2 linked regions of the Mus musculus genome follow. The protein of the gene in region 1 purifies or fractionates together with the protein of each later gene. This does not show direct contact. Links are inferred from orthologs where the notes say so. Each region holds a gene or a part of one and is shown in the gene's direction. Other genes may lie near its edges.

Region 1 (6,081 bases):
AGGCCCTCTGAGGGTAGACCCTGTGGACTTGGCAGAGTGGGAAAGGCAGGTGTCCTGGCGCAGAGAAGGACCCAAGCATGGTAAACGTGGTACCAGCAGGTCTTGCCCTCTCCCTTGCTGAGCCATTAGATTACATTCCCCAAGCTAGCCACCAAGGGCTACTTCCTTATGCCTGAATAAAACACCAAGGTCCAGCTATCAAAAGTCATTATTTGTCTACACTAGCTGATCTGTCTAATCAGGACTTACCTAGTCACCCTAGCACAGACTTCCCTTTTTCTCCTTAAAACCCACTCCTGCAGAAGCACCTGCTATGCCCAATCCAGAGGCAGCTCCCCCCACCCCTGCTTGTCCCTGGGGGGATAAATAAATGTCCTTTGTACTGAGGATCAGATGTCTGGGTCTGTTCCTCCTCAGAGTGTAAGGCCTGTTGCAGACAAGGGAAACCCAGGGTACTAGGTAGTTTAGGGTCTGAAGGCATTTTAGGGTCTGAGGACTGGTTACAATATCCTGCCTAGTTCTGCAAGGCACAGGACTGAAGTTACTAAGGCAGGGACATCTCTGCCTAGGGACTGAGGGATAAAAGCAGGTGGCCTGAGATCCCAGATTAACAGGTGTACTGCAGAAGAACAAAGGCACAGGGGACAAGCCAGTCAGTGGACCTCAAAGTCCAGAATACTCACTAGCCTGTGGTGACAGGGCTGTTGTGACAGAAACCTGAGGTCTTACCAACAGGTGGCCCTGCTGGGATTCTTCATAGCCCCTAGGAGAGGAGCCATTTGGAGAGGAGGTCTGTTAAGGCTAGAGCCTGTCGCCACTCAGGAGAGGCCAAGGGGGGCATCTGCAAAGCAGGAAGTGAAACTGAACCGCCAGCACCTGTCCTGTTCACCCAGCTGAGGGTCTTGTAAACTCTGAATTTACATCAAAGCCCAGACCAAGGTTAAGGCTGGGCCTGTGGATACCAACTTTTTCCTCACACAGCTGTTTCTCCATTCCTTTCCCTGTGCCCTCTCAGGGCACAGCTTGCACCCCAGCATCTGTCCTGCATCTTACAGAATGTATCTACCCCACTTCAGCAGCCTCCAGAACACAGGTTGGAGCAATGTGTTCCAGCAGAGGTGGACTGTGTCCTAGCCTGCCCATTGCACACCGACATGTTATTAAGCTGTTTATTTTGGGGTGGGAAGGCTGTAAGATGAGATCTTTCTGTGTAGCCAAGGCCATCTTTCCTGAGCCTCCTGGCTCACTCTCCCATTTGTAAGACCTCAGGCATGCAACACCACGCCCAATTTCTAAATCTTACAACTATCTTATGGGACGGGGAGTGTTAATGCGGCTGGGGAAACTGAGGGATCACACTTGAATGCGCCTGAGCACAATGGAAATGGGGGACCTAGAAGCACACATCCCAGCATTGCATTGCGTTGCGGCTGAGCCAAAAAACGCGCTCGCCACCTAGTGGCCATTAGCGGAAACACACGGCGGATATTGTCGCCTTCAGGTACAGGACCTGGCCAGGAAAATGACAAAGTTAAGACAGAGTGACACAGCTCTGATACAATTCTATAAAGAAAATAGTTACGTGGGCTGGCAGGTGGCACACTCCAGCATCCCAAGAACTAGGAAGAGGCAGGAGAATTACAGTGAGTTACAGGCTAGTTTGGGCTACATTATCTCAATAAACAGTAAAAAACAAACAAACAAACCAAACTAATGACAGAGAAAAAGATAGATGGGGCTGGAGAGAGAACAGCAGTAGCTAAGAGCACATACAGGGATCGATTCCCAGCATTCACCTCACAACTTTTAACTCCAGCACTGAGGAACTGACGCCCTCTGCGGGCCTCCGAGGCACCAGACACGAAGGTGGTGCAAGCAAATAAAAAAGATGGATGATGGGTCATAGATGGGTAGATACACAGAAGGATGATGTAGAAAGTGGGAAGAAAAAGATGAAAAAAGAGAGAGACAGAGAGAACTAAAAATCCGGAATCTAACTAGGAACCACGATTACGCGTAGACTCCCAGGATCCCTCGCGCACGACGATGGGGCGTCCCGGGAGAAACTTGCAAAGGCCCGTCGCGCTGCTCTCTGGGAACTGTAGTCTCCGTGAAGAGAGGCGGGACTTATACGTAGCTGATCGGTACCCAATAAAAAAGCCAAGAACTTAGACCGCTACTAGCTGTACCCAATGGAAGCACCGCATCAGGAGGGCGGGACTTCCGTCAGAGACCATGGTGAGAGCCTGCGCGAAAGACAACACTTCCTTTTGTGACTGGCGGTGAACGAGTGCGCAGTGCCATGAAGGCCTCGGGCACGGTAAGGAGGCCGCGGCGGGGCAAAAGGTGCGGCGTTGGCGGCAGGGCCGCTCGGGTTGGCTGTGTCCTCCGGGGTGGTGGTGCGTTCGTCGCGAGGGTCCCTCAGCGGTTACGGGCAGCTCTCCTCGCCCACAGCCTCCTTGCGGCCAACATGGCGGCCGCCGCGTGCTGGGCGGCCGAGGACGGAGCGGGTTAGATCGGGGTGCACCGGAAGGCCCTCCGCCTTTTCGTGTATATCAGCGTTACACTCCTTTTCGTTGCCAAATCTAGCCCCGTGGTTCTTTTAGTCTTTTTTTCCTTCGAGACAGGGTTTTCTCTGTAGCCCTGGCTGTCCTGGAACTCACTCTGTAGACCAAGCTGGCCTCGAACTCAGAAATCCGCCTGCCTCTGCCTCCTGAGTGCTGGGATTAAAGGCGTGTGACACCACGCCCGGCTGGCTTGTTTTAGTCTCTTATGAGGTTTAAAGCTAACCTGGTCTATTTAGACTGGAGTGGACACGCGGCCCGCCTTAGGTTTAGAGAGCATTTGGTAAGCTTGCGGCCTGTCCCCAGCGCTGGCTACACCGAGCCTGCTGCCACTTATCTCGGCACTTGAAATCGAAGCAGAGCGTCGCTAGAATCATCCTTAGCTAGTTCTAAAGGCTGGCTGACGGTAGCCTAGGGTGCCGGATCTCATACTGGCCCCGGTGTGTTGGACACAATCCTTCGGACTCTTGGTGAAAAGCTAGTCTGGAATCGTCAATTAGTCCCAATCCAGAGACAGTTTCTCTGTAGAACAAATGGCCTTTTTCCTGCTCTGGGATTAAAGACGTGAGCCACCTTTGCCATCTTGGCCTGGAGTTTCAGGGAGAGCAGAGCAGCCTGCCACATGTAGACCCTGAGGCAGCTTCGTAGCGGAGCACAAGCCTTCTGACTTGCCTCACACTGGGCTCGAGTGTATGAGCCCACTTTGGACACCCCTGCCTGTGGGAGGACTGAATCTCAGGCCGGCTCTGCCTCCACACCCCTCCCCCACATAGACAACTTTCTCTCCTGACATGTCTTTCAGCTTCGGGAGTACAAGGTGGTGGGGCGCTGCTTGCCAACCCCAAAATGCCACACACCACCACTGTACCGTATGCGAATCTTTGCACCCAACCATGTGGTGGCCAAGTCCCGCTTCTGGTACTTTGTGTCACAGCTGAAGAAGATGAAGAAGTCATCCGGGGAAATTGTGTACTGCGGACAGGTGAGGTCTGGGGCCCCACAGGATGCCGGTCGCTGGGTACCATCAGAGCCAGGGCAGCACTCCTCATGTCCTCCCTACTCCCCACAGGTGTTTGAGAAGTCACCCCTGCGTGTGAAGAACTTTGGCATCTGGCTGCGCTATGACTCCCGCAGTGGCACACACAACATGTATCGGGAGTACAGGGACCTGACCACTGCTGGTGCAGTCACACAGTGCTGTGAGTCTCCAACCCTCTGCCAATTTCTGGCACCCAACCCAAGAACTGTCGCTGCCTGTAGCGGCTGTTTAAATAGTGGTGCACACAGCAAAGGGGCTTCGTCGCCTTTGGGGGGCTGTGCAGTGCCCCCCAGAGTGAATCAGTAGGCTCTACAGAATGTGGGGGCATTCTGGGTGGCTGGGGCTGATTTTCTTTTCTTTCCACAGACCGAGACATGGGTGCCCGACACCGTGCCCGTGCCCACTCCATCCAGATCATGAAGGTGGAAGAGATTGCAGCTGGCAAGTGCCGCCGGCCAGCTGTCAAGCAGTTCCACGTGAGTGACCCCGAGTGTGGGGCTGACGCAGGGCTGCAGGGGGTGGTTGCACACGGACAGTCTCTGGACACTGATTGCTTCCCTCCCCACAGGACTCCAAGATCAAATTCCCACTGCCCCACCGTGTGTTGCGGCGCCAGCACAAGCCACGCTTCACCACCAAGAGGCCCAACACCTTCTTCTAGACACAGAGACCCACTGAATAAAAACTTGAGACTGTCCTTGCTTGTTTGCTTCTATGTCCCTGGAGAGGTCCCAGTTGGTCCCGTCCCTAACAACATGCTAGCCCTGCTCACCTGCCTGTCAGCCTTGCTCAGTGGCATCTTTCCATAGGTGTGTATCCCCTTAGATTAGCTTCAGCCCCACTACGATTTGTCTAGGACATAGCCTGAGCCCTGCCTGTGACACTGAGGGGTAGCAGTCTGTTTCTGGACTCCAGGGTGCTGCTGTCTCAGGCCTAAGAATTCCAGACATGACTATAATCCAAGCCTGGGGACCTGGTTGAGCTTTTTATCCTGCTGGCTCTAAGCTTCAGCTAGGTGGAAATGAGGCCAGCCAAGCCCCACAGTGAGCTTGCAAGCTTTAGATGGGGACAGGGTTACGCTTTGGTGAATGATGGAGGAAACATGGGGGTTCCTTTTGTTGGGTGCAGCCAGCACGGCATCATCATGGTGCCCAATCTTGAAAGGGCACAGGCCTGAAGCTTCCTGGGACTGTTCTGTCACAGGGAGGAACCTACTGCAGTTGCCTACAATTGCTACCTCTGAGGGACTTGCCTCTGGCCCCTTGTAGACATTTCCATGTCTACACATGGCCCAGAGTACTTTCAGGGATAGCAATGTGTGAATGGCACTTAGAAGATAACATGTGAAAGCCATAAGAGGGCATCTGGTCTATAGATGATTCTTTTTCCCATTAAGTCCATTGGTCCCACATCAAAGGAATGGGTGACCCCTCAGACTGCATTGCTTCCCTGTGCAGAGTAGAACCAGTGGCTGCTGCTTTGGAACCTTGAAGAATCCATGAAAAGTTCCTTCTCTTAACCTGGTTTTGTCCCTAGCACCTGTATTAGGCCCACATCTGTAACTCTTGCTCCAGGATATCAGATGCCTCTGCAGGCGCCAGAATTCATATACAGCTCCCCTTCACCCACGTGCATAATTAAGTTTTGTTTTGGGGAGTTTGTGAAGATACCTGGTGTGAGACTAAGCCCAGCCCTCAGGGAGGCAAAGACAGATCTGAGTTCGAGGCCATCCTGGTCTAAAAGGTGAGTTCCAGGACAGTCAGGGCTACACCAAAAGAAACATTGGGTAGGCACACGACCAGCCCCAGCTCTCCCTGATGCTAGGCACAGGTCATGACTGCAAGTGTTGTCCCAACATGGCAGTCCCGCTGCCTCGGGAAGACTCTTCCCTCCCTCCTGCGTTAGTGCTTCTTCCCATTCAGAATACATGTGTCATCTCATCTTAGTTCTACCCATTCTGAAGCCTTGCAAAAACCTGAAACCCCGGGCTGGAGAGATTGGCTCAGTTAAGAGCACTGACTGCTCTTCCAGAGGTCCTGAGTTCAGTTCCCAGCAACCACAATGTGGCTCACAACCATCTGTAATGGAATCCAGTGCCGCCTTCTGGTGTGTCTGAAGCCAGCTACAGTGTACCCACATGTAAATATAAAATAAAGTCTAATAAGAAGAGAAAAGCCCTTTCAACCTCATCAGTAATGCCCTCAAGCCCGCCTGCCACCTAGGTTTAGGAGACTGCCCTAGCCAGGCCTCCCTCCTAACCAGCACCTCCAGGCAGGCAGTCCAGCCAGTATACAGCATATGAGGCCACCAGGGGGCGTGTGCCTTAGTTTTACTTATCAGACCACCCGGGAAGTACAGACGTGGCTCAATAGGGAATCAACCCTGAACACCCCAGAAACGGCCAGTTCTCCAGAAAAGGGTCCCGGTGACAGTTCTGCATCATCCCAAGCCCTGGGTCCCTTGAAAGCCACTATCAGC
Region 2 (6,213 bases), on another chromosome or scaffold:
GTGTGCCATCGCGCCCGGCTATTGTTTTTGAGAGTCCCGAGGTGGAGCTTGTGTTGGTCTTTAAGTCAGGGTCCTCCTGGCTCTGATCTTCGAGTGTTGGGGTTTTATTGTGTGGTAAGATGCCCAGAAATAAAGTGTCCTTTGGATGACTTAGATGTGTAGATCAACATGAGGTTTTGTTTTTTTTTTTTTGAGATAGGGTTTCTCTGTGTAGCCCAGGAACTCACTCTGTAGACCAGGCTGGCCTCGAACTCAGAAATCCGCCTGCCTCTGCCTCCCAAGTGCTGGGATTAAAGGTGTGTGCCACGACTGCCCGGCAACATGAGGCAACTTTTCTGCTCTGATGTCTCAAGAATTGTAGCCAGCAAAGTAGACTGGACCTGAGAGAGCGAGAGGCTAGAAAAGGCCAGGCCAGGCATCGATGGGTTTGTCCACAATAAACACATTGGAGCACCAAGCTCTGAACAAGCAAGTTTCTTTCCTGTTGATTCCTTTCCACCACACCCCCTATCCCCACCTTGGAAACAAACAGATTTCTGGCAGCATTCAGTTATGGCCAGATTCAGTCGTGTATGTGAGGGATATGGTAGGTAGGAAAATGACTGCCTCAAAGGTATTTCCATCCTAACTCCTGAAACTTGTGAATGCCATTCAGCATGGCCAAGATTGCTGACCAGATAACTTTAAAGTAGGGAGTTAGTCTAGATCAGTCATTCTCAACTTGTAGGCCATGACCCCTTTAGGGGTCAAATAACCCATTCACAGGGTCCACCTAAGACCAGCAGAAAAGACACATTTACATCATGATTCATAAGAGTAGCAAAATTACAGTTGTGAAATAGTAAAAATGATGTTCTGGATGGGGGTCACTTCAACGTGAGGAACTGTATTAAAGGGTAGCAGCATTGGGAAGGTTGAGAAGCACTGATCTAGATCATCAGTTTGAGCTCACTGCAGTCACAGGTGCCAGAGTCCAGCGTTTTGCAGTTAGGCTTCTAGCCCCACCTTAAGTCTCCCCCTTTTCCTCTCCTTTGCTGCTGATTGAGACTCTAAGGCATCATGCACGCTAGGGAAGTGCTCTACATTGATCCTGTTGCCCACTTAATGACCCCTTTTATTGGTCTTTTCCTTCAGCTCAGCCCCTCCTGTTATCAGGAGGGCTTTCCCTTTCTTAATAGGTGGTCACTATAAGACCCTGTTGGTAAATGTTTTTAGTCCCCACCAATCTCTTTTCTGTTATTGCCCTAACAATAGTTACAGCGCCCAGAAGAAATGGGCCTAAGGTCAACTGACACTTTTTTGGCTTTAGGTGTTTTAAGAGGTCCCAAGGAAGGGTGGTAGTGCATGCCTTTAATTCCAGCACTAGGGAGGCTGAGTCAAACCAGTCTGGTCTACCTACCAAGTTCCAGGCCAGCCACTACATAATGAGGCCATGTCTCAAAAAAACCAATCAATCAATCTTCCCCAGGCAGTGATGGCACATGCCTTTAATCTCAGCATTTGGGAGGCAGAGGCAGGCGGATTTCTGAGTTTGAAGCCAGCCTGGTCTACAGAGTGAGTTCCAGGACAGCCAGGGCCACACAGAGAAACCCTGTCTTGAAAAAAACAAACAAACAAACAAAAAAAAAAAAACAAAAAAAAAACAAAAACAGAAGAAAAAGTCCTAAGGACATTCCCTGGTAAGGAATTCTCAAAGAATGGGCCTTATTAACATGTGTAACAAAGTCTGATTTTCGTTTTCTGGGAAAGATGGTCCCAGGAAGGGTTCGAGTCAACTTGGCTCTTCTTCTAAGAGCTGTTAAGGATTGCACCGCGTGTTGGCAGTATTTGTGAAAATCTTCATAGTAGCTGAAGGCCTGATTTAACATTTATCTTAGGTTAGCAACTTGTGCCGCGATTTCTGCCCAGTGAGATTTGCCTCTGGTTACCCACAGAACCCTAATTCCTTTGCGCATGTGCCTAAGTGGCGGCTGCCTCCCTTTAGCCAAAACGCGGTCGATCCCAACCATAACCTAGCAAAGCCCTGCCCACGTCACTCTGTGGGTCAGGGAAGGCTGAGGCGCCAGAGAAGAGGCATCCACAATTCGGAGGGCGTTCAAGGGACAGCATTGCGGAACGCTCCTGCGCAGAGCCAGCACAAATTGGTAGCAACGTCGGACACCCAGGAGAAAGTACTTCCAGGAAGTGACGTACCTTCCAGAGCTGATTAGTTGTTGGTTTGTCCCGCCCTACGCGTGCGCACTGACAGCGTGGAGTCACGCCATGGAGGACCAAGAAGCGCTGGGTTTTGAACACATGGGCCTGGATCCCCGGCTCCTGCAGGTATGGGGTAGGCTGTGGAGCTGCTACCCGGTGTGCCGCTGTACTCCACGCCGCTTGAGCTGCGTCCTCTTCCTTCTTAGGCTGTCACCGATTTGGGCTGGTCGCGACCTACGTTGATCCAGGAAAAGGCCATTCCTCTGGCGCTGGAGGGGAAGGACCTCCTGGCCCGCGCCCGCACAGGCTCCGGGAAGACCGCAGCTTATGCTATTCCGATGCTTCAGTCGCTTCTCCACAAGAAGGCGGTGGGTAGCGAGAGGAGCAGTGAGTATGAGGCAGGACGCTCCAAAAGAATAGGGAATGAAGTGCCCGACTGTGCCAAGGTTCCTCCTATAGGTCCTGTGTCAGTGTTAGGCGGCCCATAGAGAACTTGGTCAATTTGCAGCTTAATCTCTGAGCTGGAGTTCAGGTTACTTGGCTCTCAACCCGGGCCTTGGTGCCACGACCGCCATCCTGTTGTAATTTTGAGTAACCTTTTATCTAGAGGGGGACTCATCAGCTCCGTAGTACGTTAAGTGATTTCAGCAAGTTCTAAATTTGAGTGCCTGGGAAAGCTCTGCCCCCTGTGCTGTGAGGTGGGCAGAATTAAGAGTTTATCAGGACACAGCTAGGTGGTTGTGTTGCAGTACATGGTTCTGACTGTTTGGGCGGACCCAGTACTTTGAACGGTCTTGAATTGGTGTTCTTACAGACAGGTCCTGTAATGGAGCAGGCTGTGAGAGGCCTTGTTCTTGTTCCTACCAAGGAGCTGGCACGGCAGGCCCAGGCCATGATCCAGCAACTGGCTGCCTACTGTGCTCGGGATGTGCGAGTGGCTAACGTCTCAGCTGCAGAAGACTCAGCTTCTCAGAGGTGGGTGAAACCTGCAGGCCTCCAAAGGGAGAACGCTTTGCAAGTGTGTGCCCTTGGTGGTGTGAGTGGCTAGCCTGGGCAGGTCTGCCAGGGCGAGGGTCTGGCTGCTAAATCCTTGCCACCTGCAGAGCTGTGTTGATGGAGAAGCCAGATGTGGTGGTGGGAACCCCATCCCGAGTGTTAAGCCACTTGCAGCAGAACACCTTGAAACTCCGGGACTCCCTAGAGCTGCTGGTGGTAGATGAAGCTGACCTTCTTTTTTCCTTTGGCTTTGAGGATGAACTCAAGAGTCTTCTCTGGTAAGGAAGAAACAGAAGTGGCTCCTAGACCTGCAAGGGTCTGGACTTGGGACTGGAGTGGAATGGGTGGGCTGGAGCCTGATCAAGCCCTGTTCTTTCTTTCAGTCACTTGCCTCGGATTTACCAGGCTTTTCTCATGTCGGCCACTTTCAATGAGGATGTACAAACTCTGAAGGAGCTGGTACTGCATAACCCGGTAAGTGGAGCATCTGGGACTGAGACCCAAGTCTCTGAACTTGTTGATCCTTCTCAGGAAACTTCTGGCGCTTGCGGGGGGACTATTTTTGTTAGGTATGTCTTTCCTAATTCTTAATCACTGAAAGGAAGTCACTTGAAGTCATTATATATTTATAGCTTTCCCTAGTCCAAACTGTGCTTTGCTTGGAAGTCACTTGGGGTCACGTTTCCAAAGGGAGCCAAATTCTAAGACCAGAGTTCCCCTTGTGTACATTTCAGTCTTCTACTTCCAGCCATTGTGCAGGCTTCTATTCTGTATCCTGTCTACTCCCAATGTTTGTCTTTGTGCTGTACACTGATGCTGTATGTATAGTTTGTTTCTAATACCACAATAGTTAGGGTACTTTTGAGTTCTTAGGTTACAGCCCTGAGGTGGGGTGGGGGATGGGGCAGTGGCTCACACACCAAAAACCCTTAAAGACATGTTCTATCCTGCACTAATGTAGTTGCTTTGGTTAGTGAGGCAGTGTCCACAGAACCACTTCTCTTTCCTGATCACAGGTCTGTCCTCTTCCTAGGTTACCCTCAAGTTACAGGAGTCCCAGCTGCCGGGGCCAGACCAGCTCCAGCAATTTCAGGTGGTCTGTGAGACAGAAGAGGACAAGTTCTTGCTGCTGTATGCCCTGCTCAAGCTGTCACTGATTCGGGGCAAAGCCTTGCTCTTTGTCAACACTCTAGAGAGGGGTTACCGGCTCCGTCTTTTCCTGGAACAGTTCAGCATTCCTTCCTGCGTGCTCAACGGAGAACTCCCACTGCGCTCCAGGTCCGCTGTGTCTGTCTTGATAAAGATAAGCTGAGAAGAAACATGGAAGGAGAACCCAGTTGGTTCTTTCCCCTTTTACGAGATGGGTTATGCTGTATTTGTAGTCCAAGTTAGCCTTGAATTTAGAGCAGTCCTCAGATTTCTAAGTGCTGAGATTAAATTTGTGGGCTGCCTCACACAGCTGGTCTTATTTCTTCTCCTCCCGCCTCTTTGCAGTGTGAGGGATTGAGCCCAGAGCCTTGTTCTTGCTAAGTAAGCACTCAACCACTCAGTTATACACCTAGATCCCTTTTCTGTTCTGTAACCACTTGCTAGGAGCTAGCCTCTCAGTATGATGACAACTCTGAAATAATTAGCTGCTGCTCCATTAAGGAAGAAAGGAAGGAAGGAAGGAAGGAAAATTACGAGTGTAGGTGTTTTATTGCCTGTGTGGTTTATGTGTCCTACGTGCGTAGCTGATGCATAGGGAGGCCATAAAGGGTGTTGGATCCCCTGACATTGGATTTACGGAGTATTAGTTGCCATGTGGGTGCTGGGACTAGGACCTGGGTCCTCTGGAGAGCAGCCGAGCGTTTAGTCCTTGAGCCATCTCTCCAGGTCAGTGCTGTAGTTTTCAGCTGAGGAGGCTGAGGTGCGGATCTGAGGATAATAAAGGAGGTAAAGAGAGAGGGAAGGAGGATGGTTAGGGTCAGGCTGGTCATCCCCTTGGATTGCAGGTGCCACATCATCTCACAGTTCAACCAAGGCTTGTATGATTGCGTCATAGCGACAGATGCTGAAATCTTGGGACCCCAAGTCAAAGGCAAACGTCGAGGCCGCGGGTCCAAAGGAAACAAGTGAGTCCACGGTTCTCTTTTTTCATCATTCCTCCGAGAGGACTGTTTTCAGCCTCTGTAAGACTGAGCCAAAGTGCATAGAGTGAGTGAGTTGTCAGACATTCTCGGTGGTTATACCTGGCAGTCCCACGGGCCCTTGCTTAGCTTCCTGGGCAGACATAGAGTAGAGGGTGATGCCCACATGTGCAGCACAGAGTGTCAGGGTCCCAGAGGCGGTTTATGGGTCAGTATGTTCTGCTATTGCCCAGGGCTAAGGTCAGGGCACAGGTTTGCCTGCATGTCAGAACTCCGGTCCACCCTCCAACACCCCAGCTCCTGGAGTGATTCTAATGTTTGGAGGTCTTTCAGCTTTGCTTAGAGGAGAGATGGCTTAGAGATATATGTGAGAACACATTCCCAGAGGGTGAGTATCTGTCTGATACCAGGTTATTTTCTCAGGGCCTCTGATCCAGAGTCAGGTGTGGCTCGGGGCATAGACTTCCACCACGTGTCTGCGGTCCTCAATTTTGACCTTCCTCCCACCGCAGAGGCTTATGTCCATCGAGCTGGCAGGTAGGAGGATGGGGCGTGGGGTGAGCTGGGGCGTGCGGAAGGACAGATCCTGTGGGCTAGTGGTACACGCTTGATCTTCTCCCTCTGCAGGACAGCTCGAGCCAACAACCCAGGCATAGTTCTGACCTTTGTGTTGCCCGCGGAACAGCCTTTCTTGGGAAAGATTGAGGACCTTCTGAGTGGAGGTAAGAGCCCGTGGTATGACTGCGAGTCTAGGAGCCGGGCTTCTCCCAGCTCACCTGGCGAGCAACTCCAGTGTCTAGTATGGTACTGCACATCTTTCATTGCAGAGCACAGGGGTGAGACAGGATGGCTGACTGACAGTTTGAGGCTAGGCTGGGATACATAGTAAGAA

The links. Proteins that work in one complex are often made in the same cells at the same time.
Region 2: the proteins of Rpl18a (region 1) and Ddx56 purify together in Homo sapiens (affinity purification with mass spectrometry; 3 studies listed by BioGRID and IntAct, counting the BioPlex papers as one, with this or other methods). This does not show direct contact. The link is inferred for Mus musculus from reciprocal best matches to the Homo sapiens genes RPL18A and DDX56.

What each region holds. Positions count from the first base shown.
Region 1 is NC_000074.6:70,893,598-70,899,678, reverse strand, and holds Rpl18a (60S ribosomal protein L18a), read left to right. Parts: upstream 1-2,235; 5' UTR 2,236-2,302; coding exon 2,303-2,320; intron 2,321-3,366; coding exon 3,367-3,546; intron 3,547-3,633; coding exon 3,634-3,763; intron 3,764-3,822; exon of another isoform or gene 3,823-3,920; intron 3,921-3,969; coding exon 3,970-4,079; intron 4,080-4,108; exon of another isoform or gene 4,109-4,171; coding exon 4,172-4,264; 3' UTR 4,265-4,957; downstream 4,958-6,081.
Region 2 is NC_000077.6:6,263,769-6,269,981, reverse strand, and holds the start of Ddx56 (probable ATP-dependent RNA helicase DDX56), read left to right. Parts: upstream 1-2,252; 5' UTR 2,253-2,262; coding exon 2,263-2,322; intron 2,323-2,402; coding exon 2,403-2,564; intron 2,565-3,010; coding exon 3,011-3,171; intron 3,172-3,299; coding exon 3,300-3,470; intron 3,471-3,575; coding exon 3,576-3,666; intron 3,667-4,225; coding exon 4,226-4,470; intron 4,471-5,186; coding exon 5,187-5,306; intron 5,307-5,744; coding exon 5,745-5,858; intron 5,859-5,948; coding exon 5,949-6,043; intron 6,044-6,213. UniProt on the Homo sapiens protein: Nucleolar RNA helicase that plays a role in various biological processes including innate immunity, ribosome biogenesis or nucleolus organization. Plays an essential role in maintaining nucleolar integrity in planarian stem cells.